4 linked regions of the Caenorhabditis elegans genome follow. The protein of the gene in region 2 interacts with the protein of the main gene of each other region in a pairwise test. Each region holds a gene or a part of one and is shown on either strand. Other genes may lie near its edges.

Evidence for each region.
Region 1: the proteins of siah-1 (region 2) and gldr-2 interact in a two-hybrid assay, tested with the Caenorhabditis elegans proteins (one large-scale study listed by BioGRID).
Region 3: the proteins of siah-1 (region 2) and klp-7 interact in a two-hybrid assay, tested with the Caenorhabditis elegans proteins (one large-scale study listed by BioGRID).
Region 4: the proteins of siah-1 (region 2) and pid-2 interact in a two-hybrid assay, tested with the Caenorhabditis elegans proteins (one large-scale study listed by BioGRID).

Annotation. Positions count from the first base shown.
Region 1 is NC_003279.8:15,033,515-15,042,380, forward strand, and holds gldr-2 (PAP-associated domain-containing protein), read left to right. Parts: upstream 1-2,494; 5' UTR 2,495-2,750; intron 2,751-2,854; exon of another isoform or gene 2,855-2,860; 5' UTR 2,861-2,862; coding exon 2,863-2,989; intron 2,990-3,038; coding exon 3,039-3,150; intron 3,151-3,205; coding exon 3,206-3,392; intron 3,393-3,436; coding exon 3,437-3,756; intron 3,757-4,224; coding exon 4,225-4,493; intron 4,494-4,538; coding exon 4,539-4,754; intron 4,755-5,256; coding exon 5,257-5,884; intron 5,885-6,032; coding exon 6,033-6,280; intron 6,281-6,334; coding exon 6,335-6,527; intron 6,528-6,760; coding exon 6,761-6,887; 3' UTR 6,888-6,973; downstream 6,974-8,866. Other genes in the region: F33H2.3 (Acidic leucine-rich nuclear phosphoprotein 32-related protein 1), read left to right, coding at 1,018-1,614, 1,670-1,762; cyn-5 (Peptidyl-prolyl cis-trans isomerase 5), read right to left, coding at 7,095-7,502, 7,552-7,758; bltp-2 (FMP27/BLTP2/Hobbit GFWDK motif-containing RBG unit domain-containing protein), read right to left, coding at 8,371-8,409.
Region 2 is NC_003282.8:3,740,884-3,748,568, reverse strand, and holds siah-1 (E3 ubiquitin-protein ligase siah-1), read right to left. Parts: upstream 4,522-7,685; 5' UTR 4,433-4,521; coding exon 4,246-4,432; intron 3,451-4,245; coding exon 3,289-3,450; intron 3,236-3,288; coding exon 3,002-3,235; intron 2,746-3,001; coding exon 2,170-2,745; intron 1,602-2,169; coding exon 1,547-1,601; intron 1,402-1,546; coding exon 1,356-1,401; 3' UTR 1,218-1,355; downstream 1-1,217. Other genes in the region: ugt-45 (glucuronosyltransferase), read left to right, coding at 1-278.
Region 3 is NC_003281.10:10,802,813-10,812,201, reverse strand, and holds klp-7 (Kinesin-like protein), read right to left. Parts: upstream 6,278-9,389; 5' UTR 6,273-6,277; coding exon 6,104-6,272; intron 4,721-6,103; exon of another isoform or gene 4,700-4,720; intron 4,165-4,699; exon of another isoform or gene 4,020-4,164; intron 3,862-4,019; coding exon 3,743-3,861; intron 3,603-3,742; coding exon 3,386-3,602; intron 3,338-3,385; coding exon 2,680-3,337; intron 2,630-2,679; coding exon 2,168-2,629; intron 2,118-2,167; coding exon 1,806-2,117; intron 1,759-1,805; coding exon 1,452-1,758; 3' UTR 1,203-1,451; downstream 1-1,202.
Region 4 is NC_003279.8:90,475-96,799, reverse strand, and holds pid-2 (Protein pid-2), read right to left. Parts: upstream 3,779-6,325; 5' UTR 3,709-3,778; coding exon 3,664-3,708; intron 3,619-3,663; coding exon 3,244-3,618; intron 3,192-3,243; coding exon 2,785-3,191; intron 2,737-2,784; coding exon 2,592-2,736; intron 2,532-2,591; coding exon 2,232-2,531; intron 2,179-2,231; coding exon 2,086-2,178; 3' UTR 1,937-2,085; downstream 1-1,936. Other genes in the region: Y48G1C.13 (Chitin-binding type-2 domain-containing protein), read left to right, coding at 1,488-1,563, 1,682-1,824, 1,871-1,936; natc-3 (Sm domain-containing protein), read right to left, coding at 4,152-4,277, 5,206-5,391; mtm-10 (Myotubularin phosphatase domain-containing protein), read right to left, coding at 6,193-6,325. UniProt on the Caenorhabditis elegans protein: Involved in gene silencing mediated by a class of 21 nucleotide PIWI-interacting RNAs (piRNAs) that possess a uracil residue at the 5'-end (also called 21U-RNAs) and that guide the Piwi protein prg-1 to its DNA targets for silencing.

The sequences.
Region 1 (8,866 bases), on a different chromosome or scaffold from region 2:
CGACATGCTCTTAAAGACATCTAAAACAACACTGTAACGTAGCACTTAGGGATCAATATTCACTTCGGAAACTCATGTCTCCGCGGATTTTGATGGAAAAGTTATCAACTTTACACGTTTGGAGTTGAAAGTTTTTTATCAAAAAAATCTTTGTTTGAGATTAAAGCATGTGAAGTGCGGTAAATGTTATTGTTAAATATGTTAATGCTGTTGATGCAATTTTTATGCTTATATCTGGAAAATTTTGAAAATTGACCCATTACAAAGGAAGTAGATGAAATTAATCTCAGACTTTGACATGACATGGTATTTTTCCGATCAAATAGTATTATCCATACCAAAATCAGAGATTGAGTTCGTCTACTTCCCTTGTTAGTGTTTGCAGTTACATTGTTGTTTTCGCTTTCTTTGAGCGTACGCCGTGAACTTGGTTCTGAAGATTCGCCGCTAAAAATTTTCAAATCACCGTTTCTAAACATGGTCTATCGACTGACATAAGTCTCTTATGCTATTCCTCTGAGCACCTTCACATGTTCCCCTCGTCAGTGGTGTACAAACGCGCTCCACTGCTAATGCATTTGATTCTCAGCGCGCGCAACCAAATTTGTTTTTCGCGCGCTCTCCTCCTAATTTAGGCCTTTTTTCTTGGCAGTGTATCGATTTTGTTCGTTCGTTGAGCGTTGCGCGTTCATTGTCATTATAGAATCGTATATAAAGCGAATAGAATCAGTCTATTCGCTTGGAATTTTTAACATAGCCTTCCAAAATTTGCTGCACCATCGTTTCATTGATTTTATCCGTGTTTCTTGAGTCATTCGTGCGTGATGTAAGAAACTGGACTCTAAATGGACTAAGCATTTTTATACTGATTGTGACCGTCTAAATAGCTTTTTTTATTCGACTTGTTTCCAATTCGGAAAGAAACTCCATTTTCTGTTCGATTTTTTAATTTTCTCTCTTGTCTCTTACATCTCAACTTTATTTTAATGCCTCTACCTTCAGACTACATCCTCAATCATGCCGTCTATGGCCGAAATCTACGTCAAAGAGCTCAGAGAGAGGGATCCAGCTACTGTCGATACTCTATTCCTCGACAACGCTGAAGATGGACAAATCGGAGGACTCACCGACCAGCTTATCAACTTGGAGATGCTCAGCATGGTGAAGTGCGGACTCACCACACTCGCCGGGTTCCCAACTCTTCCAGCTCTTACCTATTTGGATATCAGTGACAATCAGCTTGGAGACAACGCTTCGTTTGATGTTCTTGTGAAAAATGCTCCAGATCTTAAGAAGATCACACTCGCCAGCAACAAGCTCTCTTTGGATAATCTCCGGTGCTTAAAGGTTCTTCCAAATCTTTTCGAGCTCGACTTGTCGAATAATCCAAGTCTCGGACTCCTCGAGGACTATCGTGAGAAGATGTTCGAGATGATTCCATCGCTGAAGATTCTTGATGGATGCGATGTTGATGGAGAGGAAGTTGAGGAGGAGTTTGCCGGTGAGGGAGGAGAAGACAGCGAGGAGGGAAGCGGCGATGAAGATGGACCCGGACTCAGCTATCTCGAGAAGAGCCAGTTCTCCGACGACGAGACTGACGATTATGCTCCAGAGGTTAGTTTTCGGACTCATATTTCAGAAACGTATGTTCTTAATTTCAATTTTTCAGGGAGGAGACGCTGAACCACGTGGGACAAAACGTGGAGCTTCTGATAACGGAGAAGAGCCAGACAACAAGAAGGCAGCTGGCGACGACGAGTAAACTTCGACGCCTACGGACTCATCATCTCAACCTAATATATTTATTTCAAATATTTTTTCCAAAAAAACTTCCCTCATTTTCTTTATGGCTGCGCTGTACACTAAACCCCAACTTTAATGATCTGAAAAACTGAACCCAAACCACCAGACACTGCAACAACTTTTTGATGAATAAAAAATCTTTAACATTAATCTATCGTTTTATTTTCTTTTGTGGCTTTTGTGTGCATTCTATACCATATTATATTACTGAAACACTGAATTCTGAGAATGCGTATTGCGCAACATATGTATATCTTGCAGCGAAAACTACAGTAATTCTTTAAATAACTACTGTAGCGCTGATCAGATTTTACGTTGTTTATTTTCTAATTTTTTGATGAAAACTATAAAAAAGGCATCGAATTGACAAAAAACACGAAAAATTAGAGGAAAATTAAACATCGCCTGCCACAATCCTAAAAACAATTTGTTTCGAAAGTATCAGCTACAGTAGTCATTTAAAGAATTATTGTAGTTTTCACTACGAGATATTTTACGCGTCATATATGTTGCGCAATACGCTATTAATACGGATTCTCAGAATTTATTGTTCCCGTAATAGTTCTGCCTGTGTGTAGCGCAAACTTCAAAAGTCAATAAACTCGAAATTTGAAAAATTGCCAAAAACGAGACTCCGAAATAACGGGCGCGCGTGTTGTTTAGCGCTTTCAGTCCACATTACTTTTCCCCCACATTTCTCCCAATTTGTTAGGTTTTGCTCATATTTTCCCACATTCGAAGTATTGAGAGTTTATTTTTCCATAAAAGAACCGATTTTCTTCCTAAATCCAGCTGTGCGGTCATTTTTCACGTAGGCATATTTTTTCTCACAATTTTAAGGATTTCTGCGTTCTTTATCAAATGAAAGGTCCCATTTCTTCCAATTTTTAGGTTTTCTGGTTCTCTGCGTTCCATCTTTGAATGAATCTTCGATTGTATTTTTATATGTAGGTTTTCTACTTTCATGTCTAGACATGTCTCCCAATAACGTTGATTTTCTTTTAGTTTTTAGGTTTTCTGCGTTTATTTTCATTAAGAATCAAATTTCCTCTTTCAGAAATGTCGAGAAAACGAAAAATGTCACAGTCGAAAAAGCCAAGCTTACCACGCCGTCCAATTATTCAAAATCTCACATTCATGGGAACTGAATTGGGATGCCCATTGTTAGTTCAGGACATGGATTCCAGTAAGACTAACAAAATTAAAAGAAATAAATAAATATATGTGTATTTCAGTGAACAAACGTGGTGAAGAGCCTCCGGAGAACGCTGACGTGAAGCGATTCATATCGTTCGCCACAATTCCAGCGTGTTGTCTGCATTCAAAAGGAACCGGCCAAGACGCTCAGTCAGTAAATTTACATATTATTATTGCAATTAAATCAATTCTTTTTAAATTTCAGGTCCGCAGACGAGTCGGCAGGTTACGCAATGCTCGACTTTTTCAAACTTTACATCTCTAATGGATTCAGAAGTAAACTTCTCAATTGTGCAAGTGATGAAGAAGTAAAAGAGTTGATTCCTCAAGTTCAACCACTTTTTGAACAATTCAAAGCTGCAATTGCAGCTGATTTTCTGTCGATCAGCAGAGTTTGAACGTCATTTCGAAATTTTGATTTAAAAAAGTTTTTCAGTGCACTCAATTCGAGTTGACTCCAGCAGCGAGGGCACGCGGAAAAGAGCTTAAAAAGCGTGTTCTGACAAATTTAAAAAACGCGGGAGTTGGATACACAACGGTTACTCCTAAGAAAACTTTAAAAAATGATGATGATGACGTGGAAGAAGACGTGCCGAATGAAACAGTGGACCCCAGTGATGCTCCAGGATCATCATCCAGTGATGATATTGTTATCGTTAGAGAAGTTGCGAGCGAAGCATCGCCCAAACTTCGCAAGATGCGAGAAATGGACGGAGCGAAGAAGAAGCTCATCGAAGAAGCTACAATGCGCCTGGGGTACTTTAATTCTGCGATTTTTGTCAAAAATTGTAATGCGAACCCGCGACGCAGATTAAATTGCTGAAAATTCATGTATTCCCGATTTTTTCGCTGGTTGTTCTGAAATTACGGGAAAATGCGTAATTCTAGTAAAAATAGACTCAAAATATTGAGTATAGTTACTAGGATTTTTGACATGTTAGCAAACCGATATATATCTAGCTAAACTTAACATTTAATTTTAAAATCCGTTGGAAATTAATTTTTTTAAAATAAAATAAAATACATGTAATGGGGTTATTCAAGTAATATAGCAAAATGTATGTAAATACATTTGTGACGTCACAAATGTATTTAAATACATGTTTTTATATACTTGAATACAGTCGTGACGTAATTTTTCTAATTTTCCGACACTACTTGAATAACCCCATAAGGTACAAAAATTGCTGCTAATCGTCTTTCAATGAAATGCTATTTTTTTAGTGAAAACCGCCGATCTCCATCTCTCGACTCTGACACCTACTTTGGAGAATGTCAACAGCTGCTTCACGGTCCAACAGAAGTCTACTGTGCCCGTCCCGAATCGAACCAGTTTGTCCAGCAGTACGAAGAAGCGAATTCAACTGAAGCATCTGAGGATGAAGACAAGGAAGCTGTACCGATGAAGCGTGCTCGAGTGGATATAGAAGAAGACGACGACGACGTCATTGTTCTGAATATGACCACCTCTTCTGGAGTTTCGGATAAAAAAGGTAAGTCAGAAGTCCAATCGCAGGCTTCTTAATGAAAAATTCAAGACGTTTCAGGTTCTGAGGACGAAATAGGTGATATAGTTGACGAGTGGGATGCAAATGACGAGGAGGAGAAGACTGACGAACTGGAAGAGCTTGAAGATGACGATATTCAGATAATTGAGGCAGGGGATCAAGGAAACGGTGTAGAAGAGGTCTCAAGCACAGTGATTTCGGTGGAGACTCCCAACAGTTCTTCAGATGAGAATAAGATCTACAATGGTACAGTTTGAGAGAAATGTATTCCTCACCTTACAGTTTTTGGTACTTGTGTATTACATGTCCTCGTTTTTAAAGTATTTTTAAATTATAAAAAATAAAAACGTGTACCATAGTTTTGTATCTGTAGGCTTAGGAAAGAACCATTTCTTAGCCTAAAGAGGAAAAGTGCATACAAAATTAAATTTAAATGGAGAAATTAATGAACATTTCATCTAATTTAAAAAGGATGACATGTAATACACAGGTACCCAGTTTTTGTTGAAATTCGAGGTGGTTACTGCAAGGAGCCAGAAAACACGTTAGATACAAAATCGGCCTGAGAGAAAATTATCAACTTTTCAGGCGTTTAAGGCGAAAAATCATACATTTTTAACACCAACACAAAAAAGATTGCTCCGAAATCAAAAATTGTAGGATCCTCCTCGAGGAGTACACGAATTGCGTATATCGACACTCGCCCAACTGTTCCATTTTCAAATATATAATACAAAATTATTTCCAGGCCACCAAACGCATCAAATTTTCCGAGAAGTTCGCCAGTTGCCAGTCAATTATCAGGCACGAACCATCGGTGTAGTGCTCAACGAGCGGATCGCTGGCTCCGTCGAGAAGTTTGTGAACTCGATCACCAAAAAGTCGTTCAATTCTGTCAAACAATTGTCTAAATTGGCATGGGATCACTACCTGGGAAATGCACAACCGGATTTTGTGTTTCTCAAGAAAATGGAGGCTCGTCAAAAGCTATTCTCGGAGATCAAGAAGCTGTTCCCTGACACAGAGATCAAGCTCCAGACAACTGGCTCAACAGTGAACGGATGTGGATCTTTCAACTCTGACATGGATCTTTGTCTATGCTTTCCGACAAATGGATATAAAGGACAAGTATGCGACGATTTTCACTGCGACAGAAATTATTCGACGAAAATTCTTCGCAAAATTGATAAGGCGTTTCGAAGATCGCATTGGAGCCATCCTCTGAAGAAGATAATCAAGACAATGCAGCTGGTGCCGGCGAAAGTTCCAATTGTGAAAATGATTTTGAATGGAGAATTTGATGGAATTGAGGTTGATATTAATGTTAATAATATCGCAGGAATATACAATTCACATCTCATTCATTACTATTCATTGTTAGTTTTTTTCTCAACAAAAAATCAGATATTTCAAAATTTCGGCTGAATTTAGATAAAATCTTCAATTTTGTAACCGAAAAAATTAAAATGTGTGCCAAGTTTGAAACGCAATTATGAAATTTGCAAGATTTGTTTCTATTTTCAGAACGGATGCCCGGCTCCCAGCTCTGGCCCTACTCGTGAAGCACTGGGCGATGGTTACTGGAATCAATAACGCACAGGACGGATTTCTGAATAGTTACACGACGATTCTTCTCGTTGTGCACTATCTTCAATGCGGTGTCACTCCAGCAGTCATTCCGAACTTGCAATACTTGTTCCCGCACAAGTTTGATCGAAAACTTCCGCTTAATGAGCTTCTTCTGTTTGGCGATATTGCGGACAAGTTGCCCAGTAATTTGAAGTGCTCTTTTTATTATCTGTCTTACTAAATTTAACCATTTTCAGCAAGTCCTCCCAACACGTGGTCGCTTGGAGAGTTGCTCATCGGATTCTTTCAGTACTATAATGAATTCGATTTCACTAATTTCGGATTTTCAATCCGCTCGGGTCAAGTCATTCCTCGGGAAAATCTCCCCCGTGATCTCATCAACAGTCCGATTGTCGTTGAGGAGCCGTTTGATGCGATCAACACAGCCAGGTGAATATTGGAAAAAATGACCGTGTGTCGAGGATAAGATTATTCAGTTTTTGGCTAAAAATTGATTTTGAATCAATTATTTTTTGTGTTCACGCTCAACTCAACATCTAAAATAGTATAGATGGTTGATTATAATTCATAATACCAAAAAAGAAAACATCAATTTCCTGTCTCACTTCAAACACGGTTTGACTGTTAATCACTGAAATATAAGCTAAAAACTAAATTTTCAGAACTGTACGCGATGTTAGCCACATGAAATCTATCAAATCCGCCTTCCGCTGTGCCGTCCAAATAATCTCTTCAAATAAAAATTTTACAATGCGTGATCTCGGTGTAAACGTCACAGAATTTGACTAAAAAGTTAATTTGTTCTTTTTTTTTATTCGCTTCTTTTTTCTTATAGTGTTCGTATAGTGTTAATCAATACATACTTTGTAATATTATTTAATTGGAAACGCACAAAAAAGTCGATAAATTAAAAAGAAACTCGAATTACTCTTTAATTCAGGTGTCTGAAGTCAGGAGAATCACAGATCGATATTTAAAAAGAGAAGTCATTTGAGCTTAGACGACGGCCTCGCGTTCAACAGAGAATGGAGTGTCGACGGCGATGTGTCCAGAAGCGGCGATGATGACGTCTTGCTTCGGGCGGTCCCCAGGAAGCTTCTCGGTCTGTTCGATCTTGCGGACCACATCCATTCCTTCGAGGATCTTTCCGAAAACGACGTGGCGTCCATCGAGCCATGGGGTCTTGACTGTGGTGATGAAGAATTGGGATCCATTGGTATCAGCTCCAGCGTTGGCCATCGACAACCATCCGGCTCCGTAGTGCTTCAGCTTGAAGTTCTCGTCGGCGAACTTCTCTCCGTAGATAGAGCGTCCTCCGGTTCCATCTCCACGGGTGAAATCTCCTCCTTGAATCATGAAGTCTGCGATGACTCGGTGGAACTTGCTTCCTGGATATCCTTCTCCCTGAAAATTAAAAAAAATATTTTGAAACTCGATTTCTTGAGCTGCAAACCTTTGGCTTCTTGGCGAGCTCAATGAAGTTGGTGGCGGTCTTTGGGACGGTTTTTCCGAAAAGTCCGATGACGATACGTCCGATTGGTTTTCCTCCAATTTCCATGTCAAAGTAGACCTTGTCAGTGACCTTTGGTCCTTTGGCATCGTCTCCCTGAGCAAGAGCTCCGACAGCGAGCACGGCCGCCACAACAAGAAGCGACTTCATACCTGCAAAAATTATGGTGTTATATTGCGAGCAAAAAAGTTTAAAAAAAAGCAATAGTAAGAAAATGTAAATAGTAAGAAAAGCAATAGTAAGAAAAAAGCGAAATATCGAATTGTTTGATAACAATAATTAAATACCACATTCGAAAAGACATGGTGATAAGAGTACATTAGACATTTTATGTTTAAAAATGAAAAAGTAAAGCCTTAAAAATGAAGAAATAAATACAAAACAGTTACCAGCAGGAACAATTGAGATGAGTTTTCTGAGAATGACCCGTGCTGAGAGGGAAGACGAAGAAAAAGAACACGTCAGCACACATAAACCACACGGTGCAACGTGGATAGAGCGATAGAGAGGGCAAACTGCAAGTGAGTGAGTGGAGGGTGACGAGAGAAAGAAGGGGAAACCGAGTAAAAGGTGACCAGTGACCATTTGGTAAATGTATAGGACAGGCGGTATGGTGGGGTGGTGGTAGTGTGGTACCAAATGCACACAAACAACAGCGCAGTAATATACTCGGGACGAGGGGGGGGAGGTGAAGACGAGACGAAGATCGATTGGCCTTGACCCGTTAATCGGAGAATGTGATGAGTGGCCGGACGCGAGGCGTCACTTCGGGGCTTTCAGTGTTTTTTGATCGTATGTTGTCTGGAAAAATCGATTGTTGTAGTGGAGAAGGATTATGATTTTAGATTTCACACGGCCCGAGAAGTGGTACCTGTACGCAATTTGTCTACCGTATACCTGGACGTTTGGGCGCGTGTATCTCAAAAACGGTTGGTCCAGTTTTTTTGTGATGCATATAAAAAATGTCCGAAATTAAATTCTAAATTTTTTGGACCAAAGCTTTTTTCGTTATCACGCGCCCAAACCTGGTCTACACTCAAATTATCAGTAGAGCGCATTTGCATGGATGTACCACTTGCCGGGCCGTGTTCAAAAAAAAAAAAAATTCTGAGAATGCGTATTAAACAACATATTTGACGCGAAAATATCTTGTAACGAAGACTACAATCGAATATTGCTGTCACTATTCGAATAGAAATACATTTCGAAAATCGAGCCCGTAAATCACAAGCTCTACAGTATTCTTTTAAAGAGTTAC
Region 2 (7,685 bases):
ACAAAAAATCGGCGGAACTTCTCGCGCGGATCCTTGCCACTGAGAGGTTCTCCCCGCGGCAAAAGATCATTGATACGGTGGAGATGGCTGGAAGGTTCGGGCAAATGCCCAGGTGGACGTCTGCTGGAAAAGAATTCTCGTTTTTGAAATATTTCAATTTGGATCTAGTGATCATTGCAGTTTTTATATTTTTTCTGTCAATTGTCTCGACGGTACTGTTGATTAGACACCTGCTCGCGAAACTTGGTTTCTCTGGAGATAAGGAGAAATCTGAGTAGAATTCGCTGGGAGAGATGGGATGTTGTATAAATTTCGTGCATTTTTTTGGTTTGAAATTTGAAATAAAACTTTATGGAATTATGAAAACCTGGTTTTTGTAAAGCAGAAAATTCTGAAATAAAAGAAATGTTTGACTAAAAAATAATTCTTTTTTTTTCTGATTTAGTTCCGAGTTTTCTAAAATTCTATTGATAGAAATGTGAAATGTTTCTTTTTTGTCTTTTCTTCAAATTTTCAGACTAAATTTTAACGCAATTTCTGTATTTCGACAGTTAAATTTTGCAAAATTTCGGAATTTTGAAATTAATTTCCAAATTGTAAATTTTAGAGATTTTTTTTGGTATTTTAATTGTTCATTTTAATTAATTTTAATGTTTTTGAAATAAAATCAAAATTATAAAAATTATTTAAAATTTTATTTGCACTCTGTTATAAATTTTGAAAATACTCAAATTGTGAAAAATTGTTATGATGCAAATTTTCCAAATAAAAAAAACTGAGAATGAATTAAATTTCTTTAATTTTGAAAAAAAAAATGTTTTTTCTCCAAAATTTCAATTAACCATCAAAAAAAGTTCAAAAAAATTTATTCAACATGATTAAAGTATAAAATCGTAAAAATTGGAAAGAAAAATGTGGCTATTACGCAAGTGGTTCAAGAGACAAAAAAAAAGTACAAAATATCGATAAAACAACACAGGAAAGCTCGTAAAATGTGTAAATCGAGTGTAAAATACAAAAAAAAAGAAATTTATAAACCAAAAAAAATTGAAAAAAAATCCGTAGTGTTCTGTGGTTATCCATTCCGAGTCATGGAAGGATATGCTATACAGATAATTAATATTTTGAGGCGGGGGCGGGGGGGGGGGGGGGGTATTCTACATTATAAAAAAAAATTAGAACAAAATATAGTTTTTTTTTCAGAAAAAAAATCCAAAAAAAAAATTTTTTTAATTTTTAAATTTTTTAAAATGTTCTGATTGTAAGGGGATTTTCAACTGAATTTTTTAAGCTTTTCATCACATTTTTGAAGAAAAAAATCAAAAATAATTTTATTACGTTTACACTGTGCATATCTAGTCGTACTCGAGATCAGAATTTTCCAACTCATTTGGGTGGCGCCTGAAAAAAAATCAGTTATTAGTTTTTTTTTTTTTTAATTAAATAGATTAAAATTGGCTTATTGAAAAAATGTGTTTTTTTTGTAATTTTTAAATATTTTCAAACATTTAAACTTGAATTTAAAGTTTTTAAATACAATTCTCACCTCTGTGGAGTATCTATTCGGCTAATAGTGACGTTGATTCCAAGGTTTCCGTTTTCTGAAAAAAAAAGTTGATTTTTGTTGAGGGTAACTTTTAAAGTTTATATTCCGGAACTGACAAAAATTTTGCTACTAAAGGTCGATGCACCATATCTCGCCCAACTTTAAAAACTTTTCAAAAAAACCTCTGCGGATTTCGGTTTTTATTTTTATTTTTTAATAGACACTTTGTTAATATCTTCAAAAATTGACCGAGTTTATCAATCTTAGAAATTTTTGGTCGATGCACCATGTTCAAAGGAAACTTAATTTTTTTGGATTTCTGGTTCTATCGAAAAAGTTCCAACTCACAAAATATTTGTTCTCGTGTTTTATATAGTTTAGCGGTTACATTTTTGTTAGCATTCACACACTTAACCGGGGTATCGGCTGTTAAAACTATTTCGGTCGATGCACCATGATGCACTCAACTATTCCAGCTGTATCCCTTGTCTAACAAAGTTACCAAAAAAATTGTCAACTCACAAAAAAAGCTGTTTTTGCTCAGTTTTAACAAAAATTGAAAGCTCAGTTTTAACAAAAATTGGTAATTTCCGATTAAGATAAAAGCAAAAGTCAATGCTCACCTGCAAAAAGCTGTGCAGCATTTGAATCGAACGCTAGGCAATCCGACTGTTGAATGGCCACTACCACCCCCTCGTGGATGCTTCTCGGTGTGGCTTCCCATGACATTCTCCGGCGGCTCGCCGATAGCTCAAGCCGGTACACAAAGTTATCAGCTTCCTTCTTCGAGCCAATCAGCTGAACGACTGCGTAGAACATCTGAGTTGGCTGAGCTGGATCGTACTTTTCCTGCTTCTCGAGCACCAACATAAAATTATAGTCAAAGCAGCTCTGCATCATAACCCAGTCAACTGCTCCAGGAAGATTGATGTCAGTGGCCAGGAAGACGATATCCTCGCCTTGAAGCGTCGTGATGCTCTTGTGGATCTTCTTCAAATGCTCCATCACATCCGACAAGCCTCCCTGCCACTTGCAGCTAGCTCCAGGGCACGGGCAGCAGTAGGGTCGGAATTCGCAGAGCTCCTCGTGCTCGGTCTTATCAGCGTGATGGAAGTTCAGGGGGCAGCCGGACGTAGAGAATTTGCATGGAAAGCGGACGGTGTTGGCGATCTTCTCGAGGCCCAGGTTGCGGACAGAAGCTGTAAGATTGAAGGTTTAGTCTTGAAATTTGAGATATACTCTGAAACTTTGAAGATCCGTAGATCCTTGATTCGTTAGCTACATTAGAGAAACAACACAGCTAAAATGCTTAGGCGCTCGACTGAGACAGATCGATCAACCAGAAAGGATCTTAGTCTTCTATCATATCAGCTCTGCTCAAGCTGTGGTAATTTTTTCAGCTTTGACTAAACTCTTCTAGTCACGCAATTTTCAAATTTCAACTTCAAAACTCACGAGTTGGACCCCGACAAGTCGGGCAGCACTGAAGCTTTGGTCTGCAGTTCGAGCAGACAAGATGTCCGGATGAGCACTGCATGTATGGTGGCAGCATGTACTCCAGGCATACCGGGCACTCAAACACCGACAAGATCTCTGCACTGCTGTCGTCGGTGGCTCCACCGCCGCCGATTGGAATATGTGGTGCGACGCTTTGGATTCCTTGCGCGGTCGTCGTTGTGTTGTGCGGTACTGGAAAATTTTACATTTTAGCGTTACAGTTCTGAAAATCAAGAAAAACTCACTACTTCCCGGGGGATTACTCTGAACTCTGGCCATCGTTTTGCCAAGCACTGCGGTTCCAGAGATTGTTGACACTGCAGACGGTGGCGATGCCGACATCCGAGGTGTCAATCCGATTTGACATTGCTGTTGTGTGATGCCTGGCGGGACCGGTGGAGGGTTGCCTGGAAAGTAAAATTTAATGGTGCTAGTTCTGGGCTCCAAGATATAGTTTCACACTTACTTCGCTCATTGAGCCAATTTTCAATACACTCAATAATAAGCGCATTCACTACGCAGCAGCAAGAACGCATGTGGGGGAAAATGCGATCATCATGAAGCGAGCGAGCTCTCCGAGAGAGTTTTCAGCAGGTATATAAAAACTAGGGAGGGGCTCCGAAACACCGCTTTACGATGCATATGTCGATTATAACACAGAGATAGAATAGCGAGTTTTCTCTCGGGGGTGGGAGTAAAGAGGAAATGTTGAGTGACTTTAATTGGTGTCGTTTTGGATGTGGGGGGGGGGACTAATGACTGGTGAGCACGCATGGTTGGAGAAAGCAGGGGATTTGGGCTCCGGCTTAAAGGTTTGGCTGGCTGAAGGTAGTGGTGTGTCGGAAAAATCACGTGGTGTCAGAAAAAACCCCTGCCATCACGGTTTGATCTACAAAAAACGCGGACTTTTTTTGCGTAAAACTTTCTTAAGCCAAATAAAATGAGAACTATGCGTCTCAACTCGTGCATTTTTTGTAGATCTACGTAGATCAAACCGAAATAGGACATTCTGGCACCAAGTGAAATGCTGAAACAGTGATCTTTTAATCATGTCTCAATTAATAATACTCAATAGAAATTCAAAAGCCGACTCTCTTGATTCCGTTGGACAATTAAGTCCTTTCTTTAATTTTGGGCCGTTTCTAAGTTTCGGGGATGAGCAGGCTTTCAAACAAGACTCAAAGTTTTCAAAAAAGTCTCACCATTTGAGTGATTAACCATATCTTCGACTAAAGAATTGCTAGTCTGATGTCTGGATAGATGATTCGCTTGCGGAGCCGAATCGCTACTATTATTATCGTCCTCCTCAAAGATGAGCTGTGTACGACGAAGAGACTCGATCACGTCCTGATAGTCTCCTCCTCCTCCACCACCGTTCCGATTACTCATCAGCGAAGGCAGTCGAGATGACGAGGACGACGATGTTGGAGGTGGTGGGTGGTTCGGTGTCTGCGGATGCCGCCGTCTTCCCGTCGTCTCTGTAATTGGTGAGTTGGTGATAACGAATTGTGAGTGTTTTGTTGTTGTCACGTGAGAAATAGTCGCTGGAGGTCAAATTGTGAGGAATTACGAAGAGAGTAAAGTTTTTAGAATAGGTTTGTTGAATCAGGAGTGGCACGGGGTCTCACATGGTCCCATTACGATTTGATCTACAAAAAATGCGGGAATTTTTCGCCCAAAAAATGTGACGTCAGCACATTGTTAACCATTTGAAATCAGTTGGGAACTCTTCGTCTCAACTCCCGCATAGTTTGTAGATCTACGTAGATCAAACCGCAATGAGCCACTTTGACACCACGTGGCAATTTTTTTCCGGCAAATTGCCGATTTGCCGTTTGCCGGAAATTTTTAGAGGGATTTTTTAATAAGACGGAAGCACTTGAAACAGTGTCATTTTGAAAGTTTTTTTTTCCCGTTTTCTTTAGATACATTCATTGAACTTGCTTACTTTTCAAAATAGATGTAGGAACATTCATAGGATGCGTACAATTTTGCCAATTTAAATTAAATTTCTAAAATTTCCAGAAAAAAATGTGGAAAACCACAATTTGCAGAAAAATGTTTGTGAAAATTTTTTGCCGGTTTGCAGTTTTGTCGGAAATGTTCATTTTCGGTAAATTACCGGGAAAGTTGTGCAAAAAAAACAACTGAGGCTCAAATTTTTTAATTAAAGATTTACTAGGAAATTTTGAAAATTTTATATTAAAATTTGAAAATAATCGCCTAAAATCAATGCAATCAAGAACAAAAGATGAGAGATGGGCTAGGAAAATCAATAAGATAAGTAAGGGATAAGGTCCGATTTTCATGAACTTGAATACCTAGTATAGATACTAGATTCAGTAAAACGTGATTGCAAACTATTTGAATAAGTGACTTTCTAAAAATGGAAATTTGAAACATTCAAAAAAAAATGTAATACATTCACAAAAATCACTGAAAAGTTAAATTATGGTTATCTTAAACGAAATAGTGATGAAATCCATGAAGAAAGTGGTAATTTTTTCGGGAAGTATCAATTTTAAGGTTCTATTGTCCACACAGACACTTTATAAATCAAGTCGCAAGCAGAGAACAACAACAAAATCTGGCAAAAGAAAACAACTTTACTATTCGCTTTTTTTTAGCTTTCTCTAAATAATATTTTCAAAACCTAACAAAAGGATTAAAACCCTCAAATTCGACGATTACTTTGCATAAATACACAATAGAAATACGAATAAGAGAGTGAATAAAACGAAGAAAAGAGGCGAAAGGAAGAAAAATATGAAATAAAACGCGTTCTGTGTGCGTACTCTCTCTCTCTCTTTCTCTCTTTCACATCTTTTCACCAACGAATGACTGACCGGGATAGTGTGGGTGGTGGAAGAGACGACAGAGAGACCGACGACGAGATGTGTGGGCTTGTAAGAGAGTCTCTGTGTTTCTCTACCAGCTGACATGCGAATGAGAATGAATCAAATCGATTTTTGAAGAGAGAGAGAGAGAGAGAGAGAGAGACGGTTGGAGGGAAGGGATGGTGAGAGCGATTTTATATGAAAGGCGTATCAGGCACCAATAACCTTTTTAAAGTAAAATTTCAAAAATTGATGGTCATGCACTGTTGGTCATATGGAAAGATCAGCTGTTAGGGTGACTGGTACCCGGGTCAGGTGCTTGTGCTCTCGGTGGTCGATGAGAGGCAGCATAGGGAATGTAGCAATAATAATAAAAAAATAAAGTGACGTTTTATTGAAATTCATATAAGGAAATGTAAGGAAATTATCTGAAGGAAATAATCTCAATAAGGCACACGATTATTTGTTGCTACAACTAGCATTTCAGTAGCATTGGAGATAGCTTTGCAAGCTTTAGGTATATTGTGTTGGTATCAGGCTGTCCCATATCGGTTTGATCTACAAAAAAATGCGGAAATTTTTAGCCAAGAAATATGTGACGTCAGCAGGCTCTTCACCATGCAAAATCAGTTTGGAAGTCTTCGTCTAAATTCCTGCAATTCTCATAGATCAAACCGATATGGGACACTCTGGCACCGCGTGGGTATTATTCAAAGTTGAGGCAGCGTCTGTGGGTTTCTTGCCCTAACAAGGGAAGGCTCTGAACTCGTTATCGGACTTCATTACGCCACTATATACATTCGATAGAGAATAGTTACAGATGATCACTCCAAAAAAATTTATCTTCAGAGCAGGTTCGACCAAGTTACGACATTTTGAAAGTGCCAAAATACCCCTTTTTAAAAATTCCACGAAAGCCCAATAACGTTTTAGTGAAATTTGGTCAAATGATTGAAAAATTATAGGGGTTTCCTTTTGTACCTCTGCATCAGAGGTATCAAAAAATTTCTCCAATGTTTATAACGGCACGTTAAACATTGTACTAGTTGCCGATTTTAAGATTAGCAAAGCTTCTGATAAGTTATCACTGTTTGATTGTTTGTTATATATGTATTACTTATTATTCATATGTTATCCAAAAATTGAGAGATTTTTCAAAGTTATAGTTTCAAATTTGGAAAGCTAGGGGTAAAGTTTTAGTTTTTTTAAAAGCACATATTTTGGAGTGAATCTAAATTTCAAAGTCAATTGACGAATGGTTCGAGTTTAACTAATTCGTTGTTGGCGCCGCGGACCGGTTTCGCGGCAGTGATGACACTGGAAGCAAAAAACTAAACAAAAAGTTTGTGTACACACAGACACACGCAATTGTTGTCTACAACCCTTTTTTCCTCAATTCGGTCTTGGGTCTCAGTAGAGCGAAATTGCACGTGTCTCAAAAAAAGAGAGGGAAATTGTGCTCACCGAGCCACGACACACTTTTCCGTGGTTTTTTGTGGTCAGAAATGTGCGGCGAGAGTACTAGTAATCCAAGCGGAGTATAAGAAGAAACGAGAACTTCGAAAATACCTTTTAGAAATTCAAAGAAGACATTTTGAACCCGAAAGGTGCTCAGCGGATTTTCCAATTTTTGTGCCTGCGTCTCACAATTTTCAACGTTCTCTCTATTGTTGAAAAATTGAGCGAAGTACTTCTAAAAAATTGTCAAAAAGTGGTTTTTTTTCACAAAATTTGTATTAGAAAGTGTTCGTTGAGATATATGATTCTCTAGGCACCGTCATTATTTCTAATGATAAGTTTATATT
Region 3 (9,389 bases), on a different chromosome or scaffold from region 2:
GAGACCCGAAATCGAAAGGATCTCTTTTAGAGATCTTTAGGATCTTTTTTCTTTGCTCAACTCATCATTCTTTGTTTTTTCTTCTATATCCTCTTGTTGACGGTGATCAGACAAATTTGTTAGAAATATTATTACATTTCCTTTAGGTTTCTTCTATTAAAAAAAAAGAAAACTTCTGCTAAATTCGTGTACGTTGTCTCTCCCATTTCTCATTAAAAATCGATATTAATTGTAATTTTTGGTTTGTCCTCCAGTGTCGTGTGCGCCATCGATGGAAATAAAAAAGTTTCAAAACTATTATAGCTTTTCTTTTTATGAAAAATATAAAATACAATTAGAATGTTTTTGTTAAATGCGATACGGTGTGCGCCTTTAAAGAGTAGAGTACTGTAGTTCCAAAATTTTGTTGGTGCGGGATTTTCATTGATTTTTCATCGTTTTTCGACAAAAATATATTTATTTATTGAAAAAAGTTAAATAAAACTATTAAAAACACAGAATTTTTAACAAATTGTGAAAAACACATGAAAAATCGATGACAATTCTACAGTAACGAACATTTTGAATTACAGTAATCTTTAAAGGCGCGCACACGTTTGCATTTAATTAAAATGTGTCGTGTCGAGACCGACTACCACGTCTCGTTATTATAGAACGAGCAATTACAGCCTAACATCAACTCAGAACAAACCAGGATCCCACGCAAGTTTAAAGGAGCATGCTGGGTATCACAACGATTTTTTGAAGAGAACGAGGCCCCACGAAACGGGGAGCAGAACGAAAAGGGGATCTGCAAAAAGGGGATCTGCAAAAAGGGGATCTGCGAAAAGGGGAGATATGAAAAGGGGAGATACGAAAAGGGGAGCTGGCACTGTGCCAAACGCACAAAACGCAATTTTTCTCACGCAACGCACGTTGATTTTTGAAATTTTCTTCTAGAAGATACGCTTAACAACACGCGACGCGTAACATCGGAGCATCGTTGTATTGTTTTCTTCGAGAAAAATAGCGTTTGGCACAGTGCCAGATCTCCTTTTCGTATCTCCCCTTTTTCGTATCTCCCCTTTTCGTATCTCCCCTTTTCGCAGATCTCCTTTTTGCAGATCCCCTTTTCGTTCTGCTCCCCTTTTCGTGGGGCCTCAAGAGAACGACTTAATTGTGCATGAATTCCGGAACAGCCACCTTCAAATTGAACACTGATTAAACGAATAAAATGGTTCATTTAAAACGGAACCGAGAAAAAATGGGGACCCGTAAAATATTCACAACGAGAGGGGAAAAAGATGGAAGGGGAGGGTCAAATAATTTTCACATACCCTAAATGAAATAAATACGGTAAAATATTGGAGGAATGCGATAAAAATAAATAGAAAATGGTGAATAATGAGGGGGGCGGGGAGTAATAATCATGGTACATGAAGTGGGTAGCATATCGTCGCGGGAATCAGCAATCAGACGTTTTCCACGGCGACACGGGTGTTCGAGACTATCTGCGCAAGTTGATCAAGCTTGGCGAGGCATTCGGCTTTCTGGGCAGCACTCGGCTCGTTGGAGAGGACAATCGTCGTTTCGCGTATGATCTTTTCAGACATATCTTTCAGGTTCCGGACGTGATCGACCGCTACTCGACGATGTTCTTGCTTCTCGACCATCTCATCGTACTCTTCATCCGATTTGTCTGCCGATGGGGGCAGGAACAATTCCTCGTCTCGAATTGGGGTTGCTTCGCCGCTTCCGTCGGTTCCCATTTCTTTGACACTGAAAAATGTGAATTTTTTTTAGCAAAAAATAAATAAAATTCCTACCGATCCGCGTAGCGAAGTGTGTTGAGCGTGTGATCACTCGACGAGATCCCTGGCGAAATCATCGAGATCATCACTGTCCTGGACTTCTCACCGATGAAGCTGTCTCGGAGAACCATCGTGAGCTTCGACTGTCTGAACGGGACATGTGAGCTGTTGCGAGCCATTCCACGGATGCACTCCTTCAGTGCGAGCAGCGATGTGTTGATGTTGGCGCCCTCTTTCCGCGTGTCACGATCGCATTCTCTCGTGTCTTGTCCTCGCTCGTTTCCAGCCAAGTCGATCAACGAGAACTTGCCCCACACCTTTTTGCCTCTGAAAATAATTAATTTTAAAGCAATCTTCACGTAAAAACAAAAACTAACTGTCTAAGAATGATCTGGAATATGGCGTGAGAACGCGACGAGTTCGCGTTTGCCGAAGTGGTTCCAGCGGTTCTGACCAGAGTTCCTTTGTTGATGAGCTCCAAGACATCCTGCTCATTGTGCGCTTGCTCCTCTTTGAGCCCAACAACCTGCACCTTCTGCATCTTATCCTCAAGCACACGAAGCTCGGCCTTATCGTTGAGCAAGTCGTACGTCTTCGTTCCGTAAATCTCGAAGAACGCACAGTGCACCGAGAGATCCTTGCGACGGTACTGTGGCTGCTCGAGCATCCGGAACACATCTCGTGCCGTCAACGCGTAGATTCCCATCGACGCATTCTGCTTCTTTCCGGAGAAATCTCCACCCATTGTGTGCGTCTTTCCGGATCCTGTTTGACCGTAGGCAAAGCACGTCGCAGTTCCATTGTCGAAGACGGTTTTCACGAGTGGTGCTGCAGTGAAGCTGAAAATATCATTTTTAAAAACGAAAACTGAAAAATTAAAAAAACCAACCGATAGACCAGCTCGTTGTTGGCGTACTCGTCGAAAGAGTAATCGAATCGGAACTTCTGATTGTCCAGATACTTTGTCAAGTCGACACGTGTTTGTGGTTGATGGAGAATTGTGATGTCACGAGAAGGGATCGTGATCACATCGACCTCCGCTTTCGTCAGCTCCTTCTTGTTCAGTGGGCGCTTCCGAACGCAAACGGAAATCCGATTCTCGTTGACACCGTCGAACATGCTCAACGGACGATAGTCGATCTGGGCTCTGTAGTTGCGAATCATCTCCGCGAAAGCAAAGTTCCCATTCGACGGCTGAACATCCTGTTGTGGATACGACCGCGGTACGTTCTTCGGCGACGGAACTCTTGCCACTGGAGACGGGGCTCGCTGTGATGTCATGTTGGCGATTGGTGGAGCAGGAACAGGGGCCGGAGCTGGAGCTACCACAACTGTGCGCCTTGCAGTGTGCTTCGGAACCGTGATCGCCGTACTATCAAGATCTGGCTTGAAGGCTGCTGTCGTACGAGTAGACTTCGGTGCAGGAGCAGCATCCTCCTTCGGTGACGGAGCACGACGAGTCGGGAGAGGCTTTTCGGATGGAGGAGCCATACGAACAGGAACGTGCTGCGTGAAAGCTCCCGTTGGTCGTTTGTTGGCAGAAGCACCTGAAAATCAATTTTTGTTTCATATTAAACCAGAACTCTCCAACAAACCTTTAGCCGGAATCATGTTGATATGATCCAAGAGGAATGTATCCTCGTCATCGAGTATCATGCTCTGCGCATGGATCCCGTTTTGTCTGTTGACAGCAGTTGACGCTTGAAGCGTTTTTTGAGGAGGCTGTGGCGGCGGCGTAGGCTTCGGTGCTTGGAGTGATGGGTTCAGCGTGAGAAGTTCTTCCAACGAGGATTCCTTTCCTTTTGTCTCGCCCTGAAAATGTGAAAGATTGCAAGAGAAAAAAGAGAAGAAAGAAAGTACACAATGCCAAATGCATGATTTTTGGTTCGGCATCACATCCGAAATGCATGATTCTGTGACGAGTGATGGTCTTCTCGAAGGATGCGACTCACCTTCTCATACCATTCCACCATAAACCGGCCGTTCGACTTAACTTCGGCGATTACGGCACCGTGGATGCGGCCGTCGCTCCGCTTGATTTCCACATGCATCCCGACGACAAGCATTTTACCTGAAAATAATAACAAATTAATTGGATTCGAGTTAATTAGAGCGTAAGAATAAAGGAAACAATTGTTCATATCCCATGAAAGAAAATGATAAACTATCGGAAAACATTAGTCAGTGGCGGGGGAGATGTTATGAAATGGCGAGTACTGCCGCTGCTGCTGCTGGGAAATTGGCGCGAAAATTGCGTTCGAAGGGGGAGTAGAGGGAGGAAAACGGATGAAATAGGCGAGGGGAGTGAAGAAACGCAGACAGGCGACCGCTCGATGGACACAGCATGGACGGGTGGGTCTGGACACACAAAGGAGTGCTTCTTCCAACGGATTACGGAGCGAAACGGTCAGAAACGTGGGCTCCAGAAATGTAAAACAGACGGTTTTGGAGGAGAAAACTAGTGTATTTTGATGATATCGATCAAAATCGATGTAACAGGATAATTTTGTAAAAAAAATGGTAGAAATGTTCGCGAAAATGGATCTTTTCTGAAGCGAAAAACAGAGAAAATTTCTTGAAAAGGTCTAAAAACTAAAAAATGCGGAAACGACTACGATACAAATTTCGCTACGAGACACGAGCTCAGCAGGCACGTATGTTCCTTTAAATGAATAATCGTTTCTTGGAGAAAATTCATGTTTTTTCATTAAAAAACATGAATATTGACTTGAATTCCATGTAAAAATCAGAAAACGACTACGATACAATTATTCTTTTTCTAGATTTTTTCGAGTTTCAAAGCAAAATGTTCAGATTATAATAATTATTTGCCATTAATCAAAAAGAAATTGTGACAAAATAAGAAAAATTAACTTAAAACAAAAAAAACTGGCCAAAAACCGGCTGAGTCAACCCGAAAACCACCTAAAATGATAGCGAAGGAAAAACAAAATGAGAGAAACTTCGCGAAACAAAAATATGAATTCGTGCGCGCCCGCCTGAGATCGTAGGTCAATTGTAGGTCAAAACATATCAGAGGCAATTAGACAAGTCTAGAAAAATTCAATTTTTGATTTCTCGCCTTTGCAAAGCTTTGTCAAAGCTTTGCATAATTTTCTATAATTTTAGACACTATTTATTAAATTTTTCCTTCAAATTCAACGATTTAAGCCGAGTTTTCGATTTGAAACCTACTTTTCCCTAATAAAAATTATCGAATTTCTCGAGAACAAATGTTCAAACGACTGAAACTAAAGAAGACTCGCCGGAATGCGGCAATAAAATGAGGGACACGAAGAATTGGAAGTGGGGGCTCGGTTCCCGAAGAGCTCGTGTTTCGCAATCGGGAATAGTTGGGGGGGGGGGGGGGGGGACCGAGAGAGCCGGAAGACGTGGAGGAGGGAAAGAAAATGCAGTGCTTCTAAATAGGACACATACACATGAAAAGCTCACAAAGAAAGACAGACAGAGAGACATTGCTCTATGGTTATGAGCTCTTTCTTGCTTTTTTTGGGTGTGGTGCAAAAAGACGGAGCAAAAAAGGATTATGATGGGTAACCTTTGCACATAAACACTTGGGAAACGTACGATACCAGGTCTCGACACGAAAAATTTTGGTTGAATGCAAAATTGTGTATGCGCCTTTAAATAGTAACTCTAACTGCAAAGCGGAATTTTCAGTTTTCATTTACTTTTCAAGAACATTTTTTGACGAAAAACTATTACTAAAACTATTACTACAACACAGAATTATGATAATGCGTCTCACACAACATATTTGACGCGCAAAATATCTTGTAACGAAAGCTACAGTAACTTTATAAATGACTACTGTAGTCGATTTACGGGCTCGGATGGATTAAAATTTTACTTTACTATCGCTAAAATATTAAAATAAAAATAAAAATGAGAAAATTATGCGAAGAAACGAATGAAAATGGAAAAAAAAGAATTAGAATTACTGTAGTTTTCGCTAACTTAAGAGATATTTTGTGCGTCAAATATGTTGCACAAGACGCTATTTTTTTTAAACAAAATAAAACACATTTAAAAATTGCGGAAACGGGAGACAATCCATGAATAATCGATGAAAATCGTGGTGGAAGTTAGGAAGTTACAGTACTCTTCAAAGGCGCACGCCTTTTTGCATATTACAAAAATTGTCGCGTCGGGATCGTATTTTCGAGTTCAAAAAAACGAAAAAGTTTGACATCTGAGTAATAACTGAAACTGGCTGAAAGTTCATGAAATGCGACAAAAAGAAATATAAGCCTCTCAGCTTATTTCCGAAAAAGTCGAGATGACTCACTTACCGGTCACATTATACCAAGGAAATGATATTTCCTCCCCTGAATCACTGTCCGGTGGACCGATTCCATGCTTTTCGACTTCTGATTTGGCCTTCGGAGCCCGTCGCCACGGCTTCTCGGCTCGTTTTCTCTGCACTTCAGGATTTTCCTTACAACTTCTGCAACTTTTCATCGGGATCGAATTGGAAATAATATTTTTTTCATTATTTTTTGTCCGAACGGAAAATAAACAATGCCACGTGACAATGCGAAATTTATGATGCCACGGGTTTTTTCTTTTTTCTTTTTATTTTTTATCCATTTTGGCTTAAAAAATCCACAACAAAAAACAAGAAAAATTCAATTAAAAAACACGGAGAAATGCGACCAATCAACGATGGAGTGGGAAATAAAAAAGAATGACTCCATATGATTTTCCAGGACTTTTGAATTTTTGAAAAAATCAGCTTTTATATATTTTTATCAATTAAAAAAAATACTTTTTTTTTGGGTTTTTCTTTTTTCTTTTTATTTTTTATCCATTTTGGCTTAAAAAATCCACAAAAAAACAAGAAAAATTCAATTAAAAAACACGGAGAAATGCGACCAATCAACGATGGAGTGTACGGAGTTCGAAGTCGCTGATTGGTCGCAGTTCTCATTTGAGAATTCCCTCCAGATAAAATGAGAACTGCAAGACCAATCAGCGATTCACTCCGCCTACTTTCCACCCAATCAGCATTCTTTAACTCCGCCCATTCCGTCTGATTGGTTGAGATTTGGGCGTAACGAATCGCTGATTGGTAGTTCTTTTTTGGAAGGATTTTATCGATTTTATCGTTTTTTTAATGATTCTTTTTGAATTTCAGACGTTTTTTTTTGAATTTTTTGAAGCAAAAACTATTCCACATTGAAAGGCAAAAGAAAAAAATACAATTCGCGCGCCGAGACCTTACTTTTAATTTTATTTTCCAGCAAAGAAAGAAATCAAAATATCTATATGTAACGCCCTTTTTCAGAGTTACAAAGTCTGTAATAAACATACCATAAAAATGAAAAATCAGCATCATTTTTTTGTCACATTGCATTTTTAACCTTTTCCACTGGCCGGCGGCGGCGTCCCATTAAAGAAAGTGATCCCTTATCACTTTTCTTGCTGATTATGAGACCAAAGTTTCCCCCCATGTTCTGGAATTTTTTTTTTAGGTTTCCGGCAATTTTTTCGTTTGAAATTCTACCATTTACAATTTAAATCTGTTTAATCCGATTGACTTATGTTTGCCGGTGGCGGTTTGTGTGTGTGTAATTCCCATCAAAAAATAAAAAACTTCGCTCCACACATTTTTACAGTGATGATTTTCGAATTTTTAAAAGAGTACTTGCAGAATTTGAAATAAATTTGTCTCTTTCGATCTGAATATATTACATTAGAACACAAAATTCTAATAATGCGTATTGCACAACATATTTGACGCGCAAAATATCTCGTAGCGAAAACTACAGTAATTCTTTAGATGACTACTGTAGCTCGATTTACGGGCTTGATTTTTAAAATGAATTTCTTCGTTTCGTCGTATAACTTTTTTCTTTTTTTTTGCTTAACTTTAATATTCTATAGATGAACAAATGATTTATGCAATTAATTTCAAAAATTGACCCCGTAAATCGACACTACAGTAGTCATTTAAAGAATTACTGTAGTTTTCGCTACGAGATATAGTTATAATTTATTTTGCTCGTCAAATATGTTGCCCAATACGCATTCTCAGAATATTATGCTCCCGTAATAAGGTTGCACCACCCCTAAACGCTGGGTCTCGTTAGGAATTGGACGGCAAAATTTTAGCCCGTTTTCAAAGAATTTTTCGTACTTTTTGAAAATTTTACCCATTGTTTTCAACTATTTTTTTCCTAAAAAAACATTTTAAAATATGTATTAAAATATGTATTCAGTTGGATTATTAGAAATTTCGATATGAAAATTAGTAGAAACAACAAAATACTACAAAATATATTAAAAACAGTGAGGTTTTTGCGATTTTTTGAAAGACCTGCAAACTTGCAAAAAGAGCATCCCCCTTAAAAATCCAAACTAATAAATAAGCACCCTAACGCCTAGTTTTTAGTTTATTTGGAGAGCCTATTCAACGCTTATCACCACACATTTTATTGCCCATCTTCATATGTTTTTTCTTTCCTGGCCGGTTGTCCCTTTAATCATTATTTTTTATGTTTTCCTCCAGTCTTTTTGTCTCTATAACTTGCAAAAACTTATGGGGTTATTAAAGTAATGTAGCAAAATGTATTTAAATACAGTTGTGACGTAATTTTTCTACACTTTTTAATTTTCCGACACTACTTGAATAACCCCATTAGATGTTTATGGGCGGCGGAAGAAAAGGAGAACAAGTGACAAAAACTAAACTTTGTACACTTCTCCCAAAAAAAGTTAAAACAATTTTTTCTCTTGTTTTTTGGTTATAGTAAAATATTGTGCAGTGCAATAATGTTCTATTTTTGCCACGTGGCCTAGAAAACGCAAAAACTCGGCCAGCAATTCATCCTAGTTAGAGTGTGATAAGCTGGAAATTTGAATATTTTTTCCCAGATTTTTTAGAGAATTTCTCAATAGGCCGCACTTTGTAAATAAAAATTTTAATTTTTTTTCTGAATAAAATATCGGTGGCCAAGCTTCACTGATTTTTTTAAAATTTACTTTAGCCCGTTAGTTCCCAAATTACTAAATATATTAACATTTTTGGTGGCCTAGTTTTCTCTTCTCGCCACGAAACATAAATTTGTGGACTTCTCAATAGAGCGCATTTTCTTTGACAGGGGTTTCAAATTTTTTGAGAATAAATGGTATACGTGGCCGTGGAAAAAAATGGCCGAGTTTTCTATCTTATTAATTTTGTTGAAAGTTGGCCTAGATCTTCGTGAAACTCGAAATTTTGTTGTCCGTGTTTAGCAAAAAAATTGTTTAGCAAAATATTTATGTGCCCGTCCTAGAAAACTACAGTAACCCTCCGAAAATTGGCTCGAATTTTGTCCGGCTCCTTGTTTTTGTGCGCTCCCATTCTCTTTCTCTTCCTGATCATTTTCCGTTGTTTTTGCTCTCATTGAACACATCTTTTTCAGTTGGGGGCACCCATTTCTTCCAATCAGTCAATTATTGATAACAGCTCCCCCTCCTTATCTCTCATTTTTCTTTTTCTATATATATTTGTTTCCAAAAAAAATTCACGAGTTCGTTATTCTTGATTTCTTATTTCTTTATATCTTTTCCAAAATTCAAGTTTTTCAGCTTTAT
Region 4 (6,325 bases), on a different chromosome or scaffold from region 2:
CTCTGTGAGCTTTTTTTTTCTTTTTCTCTAACCTTTACCCCTTTTTACGTGCCTTTTCTCGTTGTTCACCCACTTTTTGTCTGCCTGCCTACATTCCTACATGTCTATTTGTAGGCAGGCATTCATTTTTCAAGCCCTAGTGGCGTGACCTTTGATCTCCTCTTACCTTTTATAGTTTTTTTTCTATTTTGTTACACACATTTGAAGTTGACCCCCATCTCCTCATCTCCCCCAAGCATGGCCTAGAAATTCCCGTCCAGGAGAATTCGGCCGCCGCCACGTGGCACAAAAACACTTTTTCAGTCTAATAAATCCCCCTCTTTTTAATTTTCATTCGAAAAATTCATAGTTCTCAACGGAATGATTGATGAAGCACGCGGGCTGATGAGCGGGTTTGGGAAGCTCCAAGATTTCTGGAAAAAAAATCAATAGTGGTGGCATAGAAAAAGTTAGGAAATGCGGCGAAAAAAGCGATTTTTTACTGGGGTTTTGCAAAAAAATTAGTGACCATCGATTTTTGCGAATTTCCGTTTAATATCGATTTTTCAGAAAAGTGCAAATATCTATTTTTCTGTTTTAGAAAAAAAATCAATAATTATTGATTTTTGTGCAGCGAAAGAAAAATTCGTCCAAGTTGCGAAGCGGCGAAAAAATCGATAATTTTCCCTGACCAATTTTTTTTAAATTGAACCACTTTTTTTGGATACTTGACAACTTTTTAGTGTTCGAAGATCAATTTTGAATCCTTTAACTAGAAAATTAATCATTTTAGATTTTTAATGGTTTTTGATGGGTTAAACCTAGATTTTCTGAATTCTGCATATATGAATTACCCGTTTTCAACAAAATTAGACAAGTTTTTATTTTTGCCCAATTTTTTTCAGCCATCTAATGACTGTCCTTTTTTTTGGGCAAGAAAAATAAATTTTCTAAAAACGTTTAAAACTATTATATTTTGAAAAAGGACAATTTTTTAGGGCTTGGAGACCAATTTTAAGTTCTCTAGCTACAAATTGAACCAATTTAGAGGAGTTTCAAAATTGTGAGTTTTTGCAAAAATTGCCAAATTTTGCCACTTTTTAATGGTTTTTGATGGGTTAAACCTAGATTTTCTGAATTCTGCATATATTAATTACCCGTTTTCAACAAAATTAGACACTTTTTATTTTTGCCCACTTTTTTTTCAGCCATCTAATGACTGTCCTTTTTTTTTTGGGCAAGAAAAATAATTTTTTGGAAATTATACAAACCTACTATATTCTGAAAAAGGGCAATTTTTTTGTCTTAGAAAATCAATTTTGAGTTCTCTAACTACAAAACTAACCATTTTATGGTAGTTTCAAATTTGTCAAATTCCGTACGGTTGAAAACCCCCCATAATGACTCATATTTTCCGGTTTTAATTGAAATAAATGTTGCTTTGTTTTCTTACAGCTCAAAAATTCCTATAAAAACCAAACGAAACCCCCAAAAACAATTAAATTTCAATGCTTCTCCCTATCAAAATTTTCCTAGTTGCTGGCTTCCTTGTCGATGGACAATCGACTCCTACAAAAAGCTATCGTAAGTTGAGGTTTGGATCTCGCGGCGAGTTTATTGATTTTTAATTGAAAAATCGATAATAAACAGCGCTTTTTCCCGATTACTGTAGTACTTCGCTGCGAGACCAACAACTTTTCAGCGGTACCGAACCCATTAAACGGTACATGTCAATATGATGGTCTGGCCATGGCGGATCCATACGATCCAATGATATTCTATCAATGTTGCAAATATATGTGGTTTTTTCAAACTTGCAACGACGGCATGGTTTTTGATAAAATTGCGAGTTTGTTTGATTGATAAAAATTTCAAACCCTTTCCGTTTCAGAAACTCGCCTGCGTTCCATCTTCTGGTTCTTCTCAAAAACTGGCAGTTAATCAGAAAGTTTTTTAATTGCTAATTAAAAATATACGTTAATTTAGCATGAAACATAGGACATAACAAGTAAAGAAAAAGGGAAAATTGAACAAAAGAAAAAAAACGGGAAAATACTTTTTAAAATAAGGCAGAAGAAATACAGAAATATATAAAACTTTGAGTGATCAAAATGGGCACTCGCTGAATCCTCGTAGTGATTTGAGGCAATAATCCGGCTGTTTCATGCAGATTGGTGAACTTCGGACTTCGGATTTCAGCTGAAAATAAGAAAATTTATCGAAAGCCTTTTTCTCTGGAAAATTGTGCTTACAACGTGCTCTTTCTGATACTGATCACGCATTTTCCGAACAGACGGTGGCCACGTCTTCGGGCAATAATTCAGAAAGCGTCCTTCGGTAATAATCATCACGACTCGCGGGGGTCCGGCGATAAGTGCTTCGAAATATGCAAACGTGCTGTTCTGATAGCACGGAACCACGAACGCCATCATGCTTCCCTTCGTCGCGTATTTTTCACCCGCCGACTCAATGATTCCGATTTGATTTGCACCGGCGAACACATTAACGTGACCCTCCAATCTTTGAGACTTCAGCCAGTAGCCGTTCGGTGTCTGGAAATAGATAAATAATTATAAATGCTGTTAAAATTTAATATTAAAATGATTAAGCACCTTCTTTGTAACGACTAAATCATCGAATCTGAGCACTCTCGCTGGCCATAAATTGCGCCCAATATTCGGATCCTTCTCTGATTCTTCGATGAGTGGCTGGAACGATGATATGGTCCATTGAATCGGGGAACCATCGGGAATCGAGCTGAAAATTTGGAACTATTATTCTTTTTACGCGTTTTTTTTAACTAACAAGTTAAATTCCGCCTTGACAGTAATATGGCACATTCGCAACGGCGCGAAAATCTGCATCTCGGTCAGCAGCAGCTTCCGTCGAATATTGGCTCGATCCGCGGCACTCAGATAGATCGGTCCGACCGCATCTGTCCAAACCATCGTCCTGTGCGTCTGATGATCGTCGTCCAACACAAAATCAATCCAATTCACTATCCCGAAAATCCGAAGCTCGACGCCTTTGTTGTAACGATATTTGGGACTGATTAGACCAGTTTGAGGAAGGGACGAGTGAATCGGAAGCACTTCGTACAGACCGTCTCCGATGATTTTGTACTTCACTAGCGGCGTTTTGTCGATCGAATCCGTCTGTTGAGGCGTGAGAATTATGCGTTGGATTCCGCCTCGATAGCTGTAGAGTAGGTGCTGAAATTTAAAAAATGAGATTGAAAATCAAAATTTTTTTCGTAATTCCTACTTGATAATTCGCCTTATCCGGCGTTTTCTCCTTATTAATCGCCAAAGCGATGTACCAATCGTGATCGCGGTACTCGACAAGCTCAGAGGCCTCGAACTTGTCATCCTCGCTTCCTATTCTTTCGATCACCGCCCAACACTCGTTCTCGACGTCTTTTTCGTCGTCCTCGAACACTTCTGAGCCATCTGCGGGGACATTCATGTAGAACCGTGGGCCCACGTCGAAGTGATCCGGAATTTTCCGGCTCGAACTGACGCGATGTTCCTTCGACTTGCTGGACACGGTTTTGATCTCCTGAACCGGTGGATGCTCTTTCTGGTTATTCTGGACCGGAACTTCTCTCAGAATTATCCGTGGGGGCTCGGGTGGCAACATCTCAAAATTGGTTATTAGATTTTACGGCGAAATTTTGAAAAATACCTGTTTTGATTGAGGTCCCCAGTGTGACGCTATAATAACTGTCATATTTCAGCGCTACAAGTAATAAAATATTCAAAAAAAAGTCGCAAAAAGACTTGAGAAAAAAATAACTCGAAATTCGAAAATTAAACTCCTAAAATTAAAGGCGCAGGCGTTTCCCAGTTTGGGTCTCGATGCGACATTGTCGTGTACTCCACGGGGACTTCGTTTACCATGAGTGTTTTTTGAAAAACGACAATGCATTGCTTTTTTGTGGAAAACACGAAAAACGTGAAATTTTAAACATAAAAATTTAATATTTTCCAGTCTTTGTACATATTCAGCATTTTCAACTGATGGCGCGCGGTTCCAAGTGAAGCCTGCGATTTTTTTTCGAATGTTTTTTCATATTTGGATGAGATGAACAAAAATCGCTTCGATAAAAATTAATTTATATTAATCTTGACAAGAAAAGGATGGGATAAATTAGAGAAAATAAGAAAACTGGATCAAATTTCAGTTTCTTTAGGGTCCGGCAACGCGTGCATCGATTCCACGTGCTTTTTCGAGATCATCGCTTGCCCTAGAAATCGGACTCCTTTCAATTGTGGATCTTTGTCCCATCGCTCGTCTGCCTGGAAATTAAAAGAAATTGCTGAAAGACAGAGAAGCACTGGGATTTTAATATTATACGATTTTTGGTAACAAACCCTAATTCCAACCATTTCAGCGTTGGAAACCTGAAAAAAACTTGATTTTTCATGATTTTCAGACAAAATCCTGCCTTTTCTGAAATATTTATTCGTGAGATAGAAAATTGTGTAGTGCCGCGCAGAAAACGGGGTGGGCGTTGTTTTGCAAACCTGCGGCGCGTCGGCTCTAGTGTACTACTCGTGGAGAACTTTTTGGTTACAATACACGATTTTTTGTTATTTTCGCTTATTTTTCCGTGTTTGACATTCGAATTGGTTAAAACTTGTCATTTGAATCCAGAAAAGAAAAACACGAAATTCATCGTTTTTAACCGCAAACCTTATAAATAATCGATCGTTCAAAAGTTAAATACTGAAAAAAAAACAACGAAAATGAAATAAAATCAAGCATTTTTTTCAAAAAAGTTTCGATTTTACTTGTTTCTTTCTCTTTCTTTTCGAATGAAAATGATATCCAATTTAATTCTAATAAGATTAAGACTCTTAATTTGAGAGGATATTCCATGTTTTTATATGCAATTTAGCATATGTGAATTATTTAGAATGAATACCATTTTTATACAAAAAAGAGAAAAAACAAGTACAATCGAAACTTTCTTGAAAAAAAAAGTTGTGGAAAAACCATGCGGCAGTGTTGCGATGTTCCGCTCCGCCCCACTCTCTGTGTAACTCAGATGTTTGCACAATTCACGGATCGATCATTTTTGCAGTAGCCTGGTAGCCGAGAAAATTGCGAAAACTAAGCCAGCAATAGAAAAAGGCGGAATGTTGTTTTGCCTGCGGCGCATAATTTTAAGGAAAAATATTTGAAACTATGAGCTTTTGGACCAAATTTTCATCAAATTTTTACCTTGTTGAAAACCATATTAGCGTCCTTGTCAGTGGCGATCATCGTGCCACGTATGTACCGCCCGTCGGTCATTCGAATTTCATAGCGTTTGCCAATGTATTCCAGCACTTTCAGATGGGCTTCCGACTTTTTCGCGTTCTCGTGTCCCTTCAACTGAATCAAATCGGTACTTTGATCGTCGCACATGCTAGCTGTCAATCGTCTTGTTCTTTTCATTTTAGAGGGGGGGGGGGGGGTCTGGAAAATCAAATAGACATGGATGACGCCACCAATAATGAAAATTTCAAAAACATTAAGAAAAAAGTATTTTTTCAGTCCGTAAAAATTTAGACATATGTATCACAACACAAAATATGTAACAAGTTTTGAAATGAGAAAATAATCACATTTTTGTCTAATTATGCAGAATAAAAGTGAAGTAGGTTCCCGCCACGGGGTTTTAGAGATTTTTTGGTAGATCAAAAATAAATTTGATGAAAATTCGGAAAGAAAACCGATAACTCCAAAATGCACACTGAAAAATCGACAAACTTTCAAGATTTTTTCCAATTTTTTAAAAATTTTCCCTTGAGTGTTTTTTGCACTTTTTTTTTCAAAAAAACATTTCCAAAATTTTATTTGAAAAAATAAAATCTTAAAATTTTAGCTTAAAATCGATAATATTTAGATTTTCTCCAAATTTTCCAAATTTTCGAAAAAATCGATAATCGATCGACTTTTCGAAATGAAAAAAACCGTGGCGGGACTAAAAAAGCATCAAAAAATACATAATTAACCGGGCATATATGAAGGAAGTAGGTGACAAATGAAAGAAAAATGGGGTAGAGCTGAGGGGCAAGCTTTTTTTTATAACTGGATGAAAAAATTCAAAAAATTCAAAAAAATTGAAAATTTTTCGACGTGACTACTGTAGCTCAATTTAAAGGGGCATATTTATAGAAAATTCCGATTTTGAGCGGAAATTAAAATAAAAGTATAACTTTTTCTTCAAAATCTTGTGACCCGAATAGTAGGGCTCTCTATATCATCTCGATGAGCTCTTATCTCGGGGCGTGATGGGGTCAGTGTTCCTAGGCCCTGCGGCCGGGGCGGGGGAATTGGGCGATTGTCGGCACGGACG